Linked DNA regions of Callithrix jacchus. The protein of the gene in region 2 purifies or fractionates together with the protein of the main gene of each other region. This does not show direct contact. Links are inferred from orthologs where the notes say so. Each region holds a gene or a part of one and is shown on either strand. Other genes may lie near its edges.

Region 1 (4,387 bases), on a different chromosome or scaffold from region 2:
AGGGAGGATGTTGGGTTTCTGTGTCAGCTGGCACTGAGGCCCTTAATCTGGATGGGGTTTTCAAACTCCCCACAGCCTTCTCTGCCAGTTCTGTTTCCAGCTGCATCTGCCCCTGGATCTCCACAGTTCCTCTGGAGGGATCAGGCGAACCGCGCAGCTGCCTAAAACCTCACATTTTGAGGGAAACAGTCATTCAGTGTCTGTCCTCTGGGCCCGTGTCTCAGACTCTAAGCTGCCAGGGAACCAGGGATTTCCACGCGTTGGGACTGCCTGGGGGCTTTTAAAATGCCCCTGCCTGTCCCCCACTCCCAGAGATGGTGACTTCCTGGGCCTGGGCATTAGGAGTTTGTAAGACTCCCTGATGATTCTTCTGTCCAAGCCAGGCTGAGAACCACTGGTCAGAGAGACCTGGGCACATCCCAAGGCTCAACCCAGAACCATGGGTTGCAAGTGAAGAAATGAGAGGCTGCTGATTGCCTCACTGAGCGGTGAAGCCTGGGCTTGACCACAGATTAGGCCAGCTGGACCCAGGGGTGCAGGTGGGAGCATCTCTGCTTCTCTCTGCTCTGCCCCATGGGCCCCAGCAGCCTGGGCCCACATCCTCTCACTCGGAAGCCAGCTCTCACTGGGCTGGCTGGGCTCACAGCTCCACCCTGGAACCATCCATGTGGCCTGGAGGGCCCCTCAGGGCTCAGACAGCCAGACCTGGGGTGGTTGAAGGCCAAGAGCCGGGTGCCCTCTGGGAACCACACAGCCAGGAGTGGGAAGGGGTGCTCAGAGTAGGGAAAAGGAATGGGTATGAGTGGACAGAACCATTATGTCACCCCAGAGAGGCTCTGTCCCCCGCCCCGCTGAGGGGGAGACAGGAGAGCAGCCACAGGTCCAGCAGTGTGAACACAGGGTCTAGGGTCAGGTGCTGGAGCGGGGTCCAGCTCCTCCACTGGCCAGCTGCACACCTGGCTCTCAGGGCCTCCCTCCCCTGGGACAGGGGACAGTACCGCGCAGCGTTGCAGGGAACAGGCCCTCTGTGTGGTGAGCATGCCAAGAGCTCGGAGAGGGTGGATTTGCACATGAGCAACCACCTGTGCAGTGTCCACCCAGCCAGCAATGTGCTGGACCCAGGAAAGGACTCAGAGCGCTCTGTCACCCACAGGAACAAACTGTCTGGGCCCACAGCCTCTGCTTCTTCCCCTCCTGTCCCCCAAACGCCAGCCCCTGGCCGGCCTGGAGGCGTTTCCAACTGACTGTGGCTGTCAGTCTTCTTTCGGGCCTTGCTCCAGCCAGACTCCCGCCTTGGGCCTCTGCCATCCCGGCACTGACACCCACATGCAGAGCTGAGACAAAAGAGAGGGGCCCCCGGGAGTGTCGTCAGCAGCCAATCCCAGAAGGCATCTATGTCAGATGGTTTCTGGAAATCGAAACTTGACTGTTTCCTGAAGCATTTCCTGGGATCAGCCTGACCACGCTCCATACTGGGAGAGGCTTCTGGGTCGAAGGACCAGTCTGCAGAGGGCTCCTGGAGCTGGAAGCAAGGAGGCTCCAGCACAGCCATCACAGCCGCTCCAGCCAGGTAAGCTCCTGCCTCCAGCTCTCAGGTGGGCACCCCCGCCTCTCTCTCTTTTTTTTTTTTTTGAGACAGGGTCTCACTTTTTTACCCAGGTTGGAATGCAGTGGGGCGATCTCAGCTCACTGCAGCCTCTGTCTCCCAGGTTCAAGAGATTCTCCTGCCTCAGCCTCCCGAGTAGCTGGAATTATAGATGCCTGCCACCATGCCTGGCTAAATTTTGTATTTTTAGTAGACACAGGGTTTCACTATGTTGGCCAGGCTGGTCTTGAACCCCTGACCTTATGATCTGCCCGCCTCGACCTCCCAAAGTGCTGGGATTACAAGTGTGAGCCACCGTGCCCAGCCAGGGCACCCCTCTCTCTACACAGGCAAATGGGGGTCACTCCTCCCTGTTTGCACATAGGCCTGGAGCTATCCTTGCTGCTCCCAGGCCCATCTCTGTACAGTTGGGCAGATTGCTTACTACACAAGGATACCAGCCAAAGGGGCAAGTGGGCTGGAAATCAGCTTGGCCCTCTCAGGTCTGTGCATTGAGCCTAGGCCTGCACCCACCCCAACGAAGGGTACCTTTTTTTCAATTCACATGAAGGCACCCTAGGGGTCAACACAGATAGCCGGTCTCAACTTTCCATATGAAAGAATCAGGGAAATATACCCAGCCACTGCCACCCAAAGGGCAGCAATGGTGCCTGCCTGGTGCTTCATTGTCCACTTTTTTTTTTTTTTGAGACAGAGTCTTGCTCTGTCACCCAAGCTGGAGTACAGTGGTATGATCTCAGGTCACTGCAACCTCTGCCTTCTAGGTTTAAGCGATTCTCTTGCCTCAGCCTCCTGAGTAGCTGGGACTACAGGTTCACACCACCGTGCCCAGCTATTTTTTTTTTTTTTTTTTTTTGGTATTTTTATTAGAGATGGGGTTTTACCATGTTGGCCAGGCTGGTCTCGAACTCCTGACCTGAAATGATCCACCCACCTCAGCCTCCCAGAGTGCTGGGATTACAGCATGAGCCATCGCACCTGGCCAGTTGGCCATTTTTCCAAGGCCCTCGCCCATGGCCTCCTCCCGCTCCACCCTCCCCCATGCCTGTGCGGCAGCCTTGCCCGGCACCTGGTTTTCTGAGATGGGCTCACTCACTTCCAGTCACCAATTCTTGCTGTCCTTACTGCCAGGGGCCACCCCCAGCCCACCCCTTCATCTAGCCAAGTCTAACACATCTTTCCAGGACCATGCTGCAGACCAGGTGAGGAGCCCCTGTGGGGGCAACCACAGCGTCCATCACACTTACCAAGACCACAGTGGGCTCTGCAGGAGAGGTACCCTGCCTGCCACACAGCCCAGGTCGGGCTGAAGGGTGGATGGGCAGGCCAGTCCCCCGGCATCGGGCCACCGGGCTCCGGTGCCTCACTCCACCGCTTCCATCCACAGCAGGATCCATGCGTCCAGGCAAGGCCATGGTCCCTCTGAGGCTCTTCTGGATGTGGCTGCTGGTTGCAGGGACCCAAGGTGAGCTGAGTCCCTGGGAAATGCCAAAAGCAAAAGTCTGTGAGGCTGCTGCACCCTGGGTCTGTGCACAATGCCCAAAAGAGGTTGTGCCTGGGGTCTGAGGCCCGGTGGTTAGCCGAATCTTCTCTCTTCCGGTATCCTGAGTGATCATGGCTTGGAGGTTCCAGGGGCTCACCTGGGCTCAGGTGAGCTGCAGGTTATAGAGAGGACACCAGGGAATTCTCCATTCCATCCAGAGGGAACCAGAGGAGCTGATCAAAGCAGCAGTCACGGGGTGTTGTGGGGTCCATGGCCTTGGATGCAGGTCAAGCTTCCAGAGGGTCCTGGCTGCCTTTCCTCATATTCTTTACCCTGTGAGCCCCTGGAGACTCATGCTCATCCTGGGGGCCCCACAGAAGCCAGACGTGCCCCCAACTGAATTCAGCTCCTACCAGGCTCTGCCAGCTCCTGTAGGGGCGAATGTCAGTGGGCAGAGTCCCAGAAGGTCATGTGTGGGGTAGGAATCCCATTCTCTGCCCTGGAAGTATTCTGCCTGTGCTCCCAGGGGTCCCTAGGCCTGCTGTCCCCACTAGGCCAGCACCCGCAAACTGCAGACACCCTCAGGAGGGGTTAGCATGGAGCCGCCTTTCCCTCGGGGTCCTGCCACCTCCACTCCCAGTGCTGGAGAACCCAGGGCTTCTCTGCCCCGTTCTGTCTATGGAGTGAAGGGCTGAGACCCCTAAAACAAGGAACGGCATGTTTAGCCTCCATGTAGGGGGTCTGTATGTATCTTCCACTCCCCCTCACAGAGGTGCCCCTCACGGAGAGGCAGGGGGACCTTGAAGCACTGGAAAACAAGCTCAGCAGGGGAGTCCCAGGACAGCGTGGGGGCCCTAGAGGTTGGCGCGTGGGGGGGGCGCTGCAGGCTCCAGCCTCACCCTTGTTGGTCTCTCCCTGCAGCCGTGAACGATGGTGACATGCGGCTGGCTGATGGGGCCACTGCCAATGAGGGTCGTGTGGAGATCTTCTACAGAGGCCAGTGGGGCACTGTGTGTGACAGCCTGTGGGATCTGACTGATGCCAGCGTCGTCTGCCGGGCCCTGGGCTTTGAGAACGCCACGCAGGCTCTGGGCAGAGCTGCCTTTGGGCAAGGTAGGACCTGCTGTCCCTGTCCTCTGGGGCTGAGACCCACAGCATAGCCAGCTCCTGGGAGGGGTGAATCCCCTAAGACAAGACAACCAGGCTTCAAAGACATGCAAACTGTATTCCTATTAATTTAGCAAGAGCAAAAAGTTTTTTTTTTTGAGATGGAGTCTCACTCTGTCGGCCAGGCTGGA
Region 2 (4,254 bases):
GTCTCAAACTCCTGACCTCATGATCCGCCCGTCTTGGCCTCCCAAAGTGCTGGGATTACAGGCATGAACCACTGTGACTGGCCCACCATCCCAATCTTACTAAAAGCTTTCTCTTTGGGTGGCCTGCTGGAGCCCCTCCATGGGGAAGTCCCCAGCTCTGCCCCACCCCAAATAGACCCCCAGCAGTGTCCCACCACTGTGTGCCACTCACCTGCACAGGAGGCACGCCGCTGTTGCTCTGCCGGAACTCGCCCTCGTCCCCAGCGCTGATCTCCTCATAATCATCCAGCATCCGTACTCGCATCCCTGGCTGCAGTGTGTCCCGCACATACAAGGCATAGGTATTGCCACTTGCAAACTCAGAACGAGGGCGAAACCGTCTTGATCTCCTGAAGGAGGGCTGAGCCTGGGCGGTGGGGAGCCCTGGGCTCACAGCTGTCAGCTGAGGCTGGAAGATGGAACCAGGGAACCGTGCAGAGCTCCTTGGTTTGTCTGAGGCCTGGTTCCAGCGCATGGCTTGCACCAGCTCTGAGATCAGGGTGCCCATGGCCATACTGAACTCCAGCTCCAGTTGACCCCTCTCCCCACTCAACTCCTCAGGAGCAGAGGTGTTCTGGGTTCCTGCCTCCACAGCACTGTCGTTCAGCTGATCCAGAAGTGAGGTGACATGCAAATACCGCTTCACCAGGGAGAAGAGCACCCTTCCTGGGACCTGTGGGATACAATCTTTGGTCTACATCCATCTTGTCCCATTTTAAGCCCCTCTCTCCACACCATCCTCTGTAGACAGGTGCAAAGACTCAGTCCCTAGATCTGGTTCACAAGCTCCCCCCACCTTACACCCCAAAGGTTACCTGTGGTAGCTGAATGCCCTCGAAAGACATGGGATGTTCAGAGAGCGTGGCCTGTGCAAACAGTGCTAGCAGAGCACAGCGGCTATCAAAATCCAGGTGTTTCTCAATGGCTTCTTGTTGGCTCAGTGACAGAAGGATCTGAGTCCGGGTCCCTGTAACCCACACCCCAATCGGTAACTTCTCCCCAACCTCACCCTTCCTAAAATCTTGGACCGTCTACTCTTTCAATCCAATCCTTTTGCCACCACACAGTGGGAAATCATTGATTTGCTTCAAAAGTTAAAATTTGCTAACTTATATACACACACACAATCTGCAATAGTCTAAATTCTTCCTTTGCATAAAAAGTAACTAATTAACATGAGATTTTTGAAGATAGGGTTTCCTCTTTTGGCAGATACCCCCCGCCCTCACCCCCATTCCCACCTCCTTTTCTTCCAACTCTAAGAGAAGGGCAACAGAATCATTTACGTACTGATGAGATTAGAGGCTCCTGCCACAGTGTCCTGTGAGTCCCTGAGCCGACCCAGCCCTTCTGCTTTCCCTTCCTCCCCACACTGCCCCTCACCAGCATCATGGGAGGACAGGGCTTGTATCATCCGGCCTGCGCTCCAGCGAATCTGATAATCGGGACTACTCAACATGTGCATGAGCAAGTCCAGGACCCTTGGGTCCTTGAACACCCCAGTGAGGGGCTCGATGCTGGCATAGGCGCTGAGCACGTGGACAGTGTGAAGTAGAGGAGCAGGAGGGATGGTGCCCACACACTCCTCCAGCTGCCGAAGGGCTCTCTGAATGAGGGACTTCACATCAGTTTCCATCTCCTCCAGTACAGATTTGTCCAGGGCCCCAACCTCCCCTGCAGACTGGGAGGGCCTGATGACCTGGCCATCCTCGCCCAGCATCTTGTGGCAGTTGGCATATATCTCATCCTTAGACATCCACAGCAGGATATGTTCAGCCTTGCAGTCCACTTGGCCAGCGACCCCGTCCCCATCATCGCCACGCCGCAGGATGAGCCAGCGGATCTGGTACTCAGGATGCCCATCATGGCCCACTCGCTGGCGGATCAGCTCATCAGGATAGGCATGTAAGCCAGGCCCCAGGGGCACCCTGAATTCCCTGTAGCGGAGTTCCCCCACCATCCTGGCACCTGGAGCACACAAGGAAGAGAGAACAGACAAGCTAGAGTAAGGAGAGGTCAGAAAAATCAGACATCCAGGAGTTAGGGAAGCAAATGGCAACAGCTGTCGGGCAGGGTGGGGTAAAGCCAGGCCCAGGAGTTGCATGCTGCACGCTGGATGGGGGCAGGCCTAAGCAGAGAACACGGGGGTTGTGTTGTGAAAGAACACAAAATTTGGGGGCTAAAAGGAAGGTCCCCAAAACCCTGCAGCCTGGAGTGGGTGGGTTTGGAATAGTGGGCAGACAGTGGGGGCAGGGCAGCCTTGGAGTTTACAAGTGAATTCCAAGACTTTGGGACAGGCAGCAACCCTGGGGGCATGTGAAGCCCAGAGGGGTAGATTTATGGGGGGCTGGGAAGGAGATCGCGAGTGTGTGTGTGGAAAAGGGTGCTGTCTCTACGATTGGAACATGGGAGTGTGAGTCGCAGAGTTAAGAGACCCGAGAAATGGTGGTTGAGGGCAAGGCGCGATGGGCTGGAGGCACCTCTGACTGGAGCAACCGGAGCAAGAGGGCTGGTGGGGGCGCTGTGAGACCCAGGGCAGGGTGCACAGGAGAACAGGCAGGGGAGGGGCGCGAGGCTTGGGGGACCGAGGTTGGAGACCCGAGAAGCCTGGAACGCGCGCTATAAGGTGGGGGAGAGGGGCTAACTCCCATAAACTAGAACCCCGAGACACGGTGGGATGCGGGGCCGAGGTCAAGTGAGCGCGAGGATCCACGGGCAAGTGGTCAGGGGAGGAGCAAGGGGCCGCAGCGGGGCTCTGGCCACCTCAGAAGTCCACCGGGGTCCTGACGCGAGGCCTGTCCTTCACAGAGCAAGGGACGCGGCACAGACGCTGACGACGAATTGGGTCCCACCTGGGCCCCGCGAGGGGATCCAGACGGAGAGATCTGAGGGGGTGTGCCTCTGCGGAACAGAACAGCAGCGCCCGCGTGGGTCGGCAGCCACTGGGGCAGGGTGGGGCCTGGTCCCTGCCAGTGACTCCGCCTGCCAAAAGCCACGGCTCATTTCCGCCAGACCCAGCGGAAAGCTAGGGGCCCTGGGAGAGCGCTGGGGCGGAGCTGCGGGTGCCACCTTGGCGACGCAGCACCTCCTTCCCTGCGCCGCCCTTTCCTCTTCCTTTTTGTCCTCCCTCCTGCCGGAAGTGCCCTCCCCGTTTCCCAAAGTCAGAACTGGAAAAGGCCTTGGACGTCACTAATTTCCATCCTCGGGCTCCATTACCTGTAAGGGAACTGGGGTGGGGGCAGACCCACAGTGTCCTGTCTTTATCTTCCGACACTTTTTACTGCTTCTCCCCACATTCTGTCTGTACCATCCCCTCCCCCGCAAAAAACAGTAACAGATAAAAACAGGAGGTGGGGCATTTTATTAGAGTACAGGGATATCAGCTTTGGGCAGCAGCAGAAGGCAGCTTCACATAACTCTTCATGGGGGGTAGTGGCCGAATCTTTCGGCCAGCCCAGCCCCCCTTGCGGTGCCATCGCCCACTGTTAGGCCTCTTGCCCAGCCAACGGTTGCGCCCTGCCTTGCCAATAACCCGTTTGTTATGATCAACGTTGGATACTCGACCTACTGTTGCTATGCACGTTTCCAGCACCTGACAGAGAAAACAGATGGAGAAGAATGTACGATGTGGGGGCAAGATTTGACAATGTTTAGAGCACAACCCTTGGGGGGCGTCTTAGACTCAATGAGAGAAGGGAGAGGAGAAAGAAAAAGCACAAGACGGGTGAAGCTAAGTGAAGGTCCTACAGGAGGAACAAGGTAGTTGAAATCGAAGAGCCGGGTGCACTGACTCACGCCAGTAATCCCAGCACTTTGGAAGGCCGAGGCTGGAGGGTAACTTGAGCCCAGTTTGAGACCAGCCCAGGCACTATAGTGAAACCCCATCTCTACAAAATAAAAACTATTAGCCGGGGCCAGGTGCAGTGGCTCACACCTGTAATCCCAGCACTTTGGGAGGCCTAGGAGGGCAGATCGCTTGAGCCAGGAGTTCAAGACCAGCCTGGCCAACATGGTAAAACCCTATCTCTATAAAAAATATGAAAATTAGCTGGATGTAGTGGCATGTGCCTGTAGTCCCAGCTACTTGGGGGGCTGAGGCAGAAGGACTGCTTGAACCCAGGAGTTTGAGGCTGCAGTGAGCTATGATTGTGCCATCGCACTCAAGCAATAGAAACCCGGTCTCAAAAAAATTAATTAGGGTTGGGCATGGTGGCT

What was found.
Region 1: the proteins of CUL7 (region 2) and LGALS3BP purify together in Homo sapiens (affinity purification with mass spectrometry; 3 studies listed by BioGRID and IntAct, with this or other methods). This does not show direct contact. The link is inferred for Callithrix jacchus from reciprocal best matches to the Homo sapiens genes CUL7 and LGALS3BP.

What each region holds. Positions count from the first base shown.
Region 1 is NC_133506.1:134,725,379-134,729,765, reverse strand, and holds the start of LGALS3BP (galectin-3-binding protein), read left to right. Parts: upstream 1-1,469; 5' UTR 1,470-1,570; intron 1,571-2,993; exon of another isoform or gene 2,994-2,996; 5' UTR 2,997-3,001; coding exon 3,002-3,071; intron 3,072-4,010; coding exon 4,011-4,202; intron 4,203-4,387.
Region 2 is NC_133505.1:51,530,458-51,534,711, forward strand, and holds the start of CUL7 (cullin-7), read right to left. Parts: upstream 3,047-4,254; 5' UTR 3,043-3,046; coding exon 2,892-3,042; exon of another isoform or gene 2,803-2,891; intron 2,008-2,802; coding exon 1,330-2,007; intron 1,007-1,329; coding exon 855-1,006; intron 713-854; coding exon 212-712; intron 1-211. Other genes in the region: MRPL2 (large ribosomal subunit protein uL2m), read right to left, coding at 3,419-3,631. UniProt on the Homo sapiens protein: Core component of the 3M and Cul7-RING(FBXW8) complexes, which mediate the ubiquitination and subsequent proteasomal degradation of target proteins. Core component of the 3M complex, a complex required to regulate microtubule dynamics and genome integrity.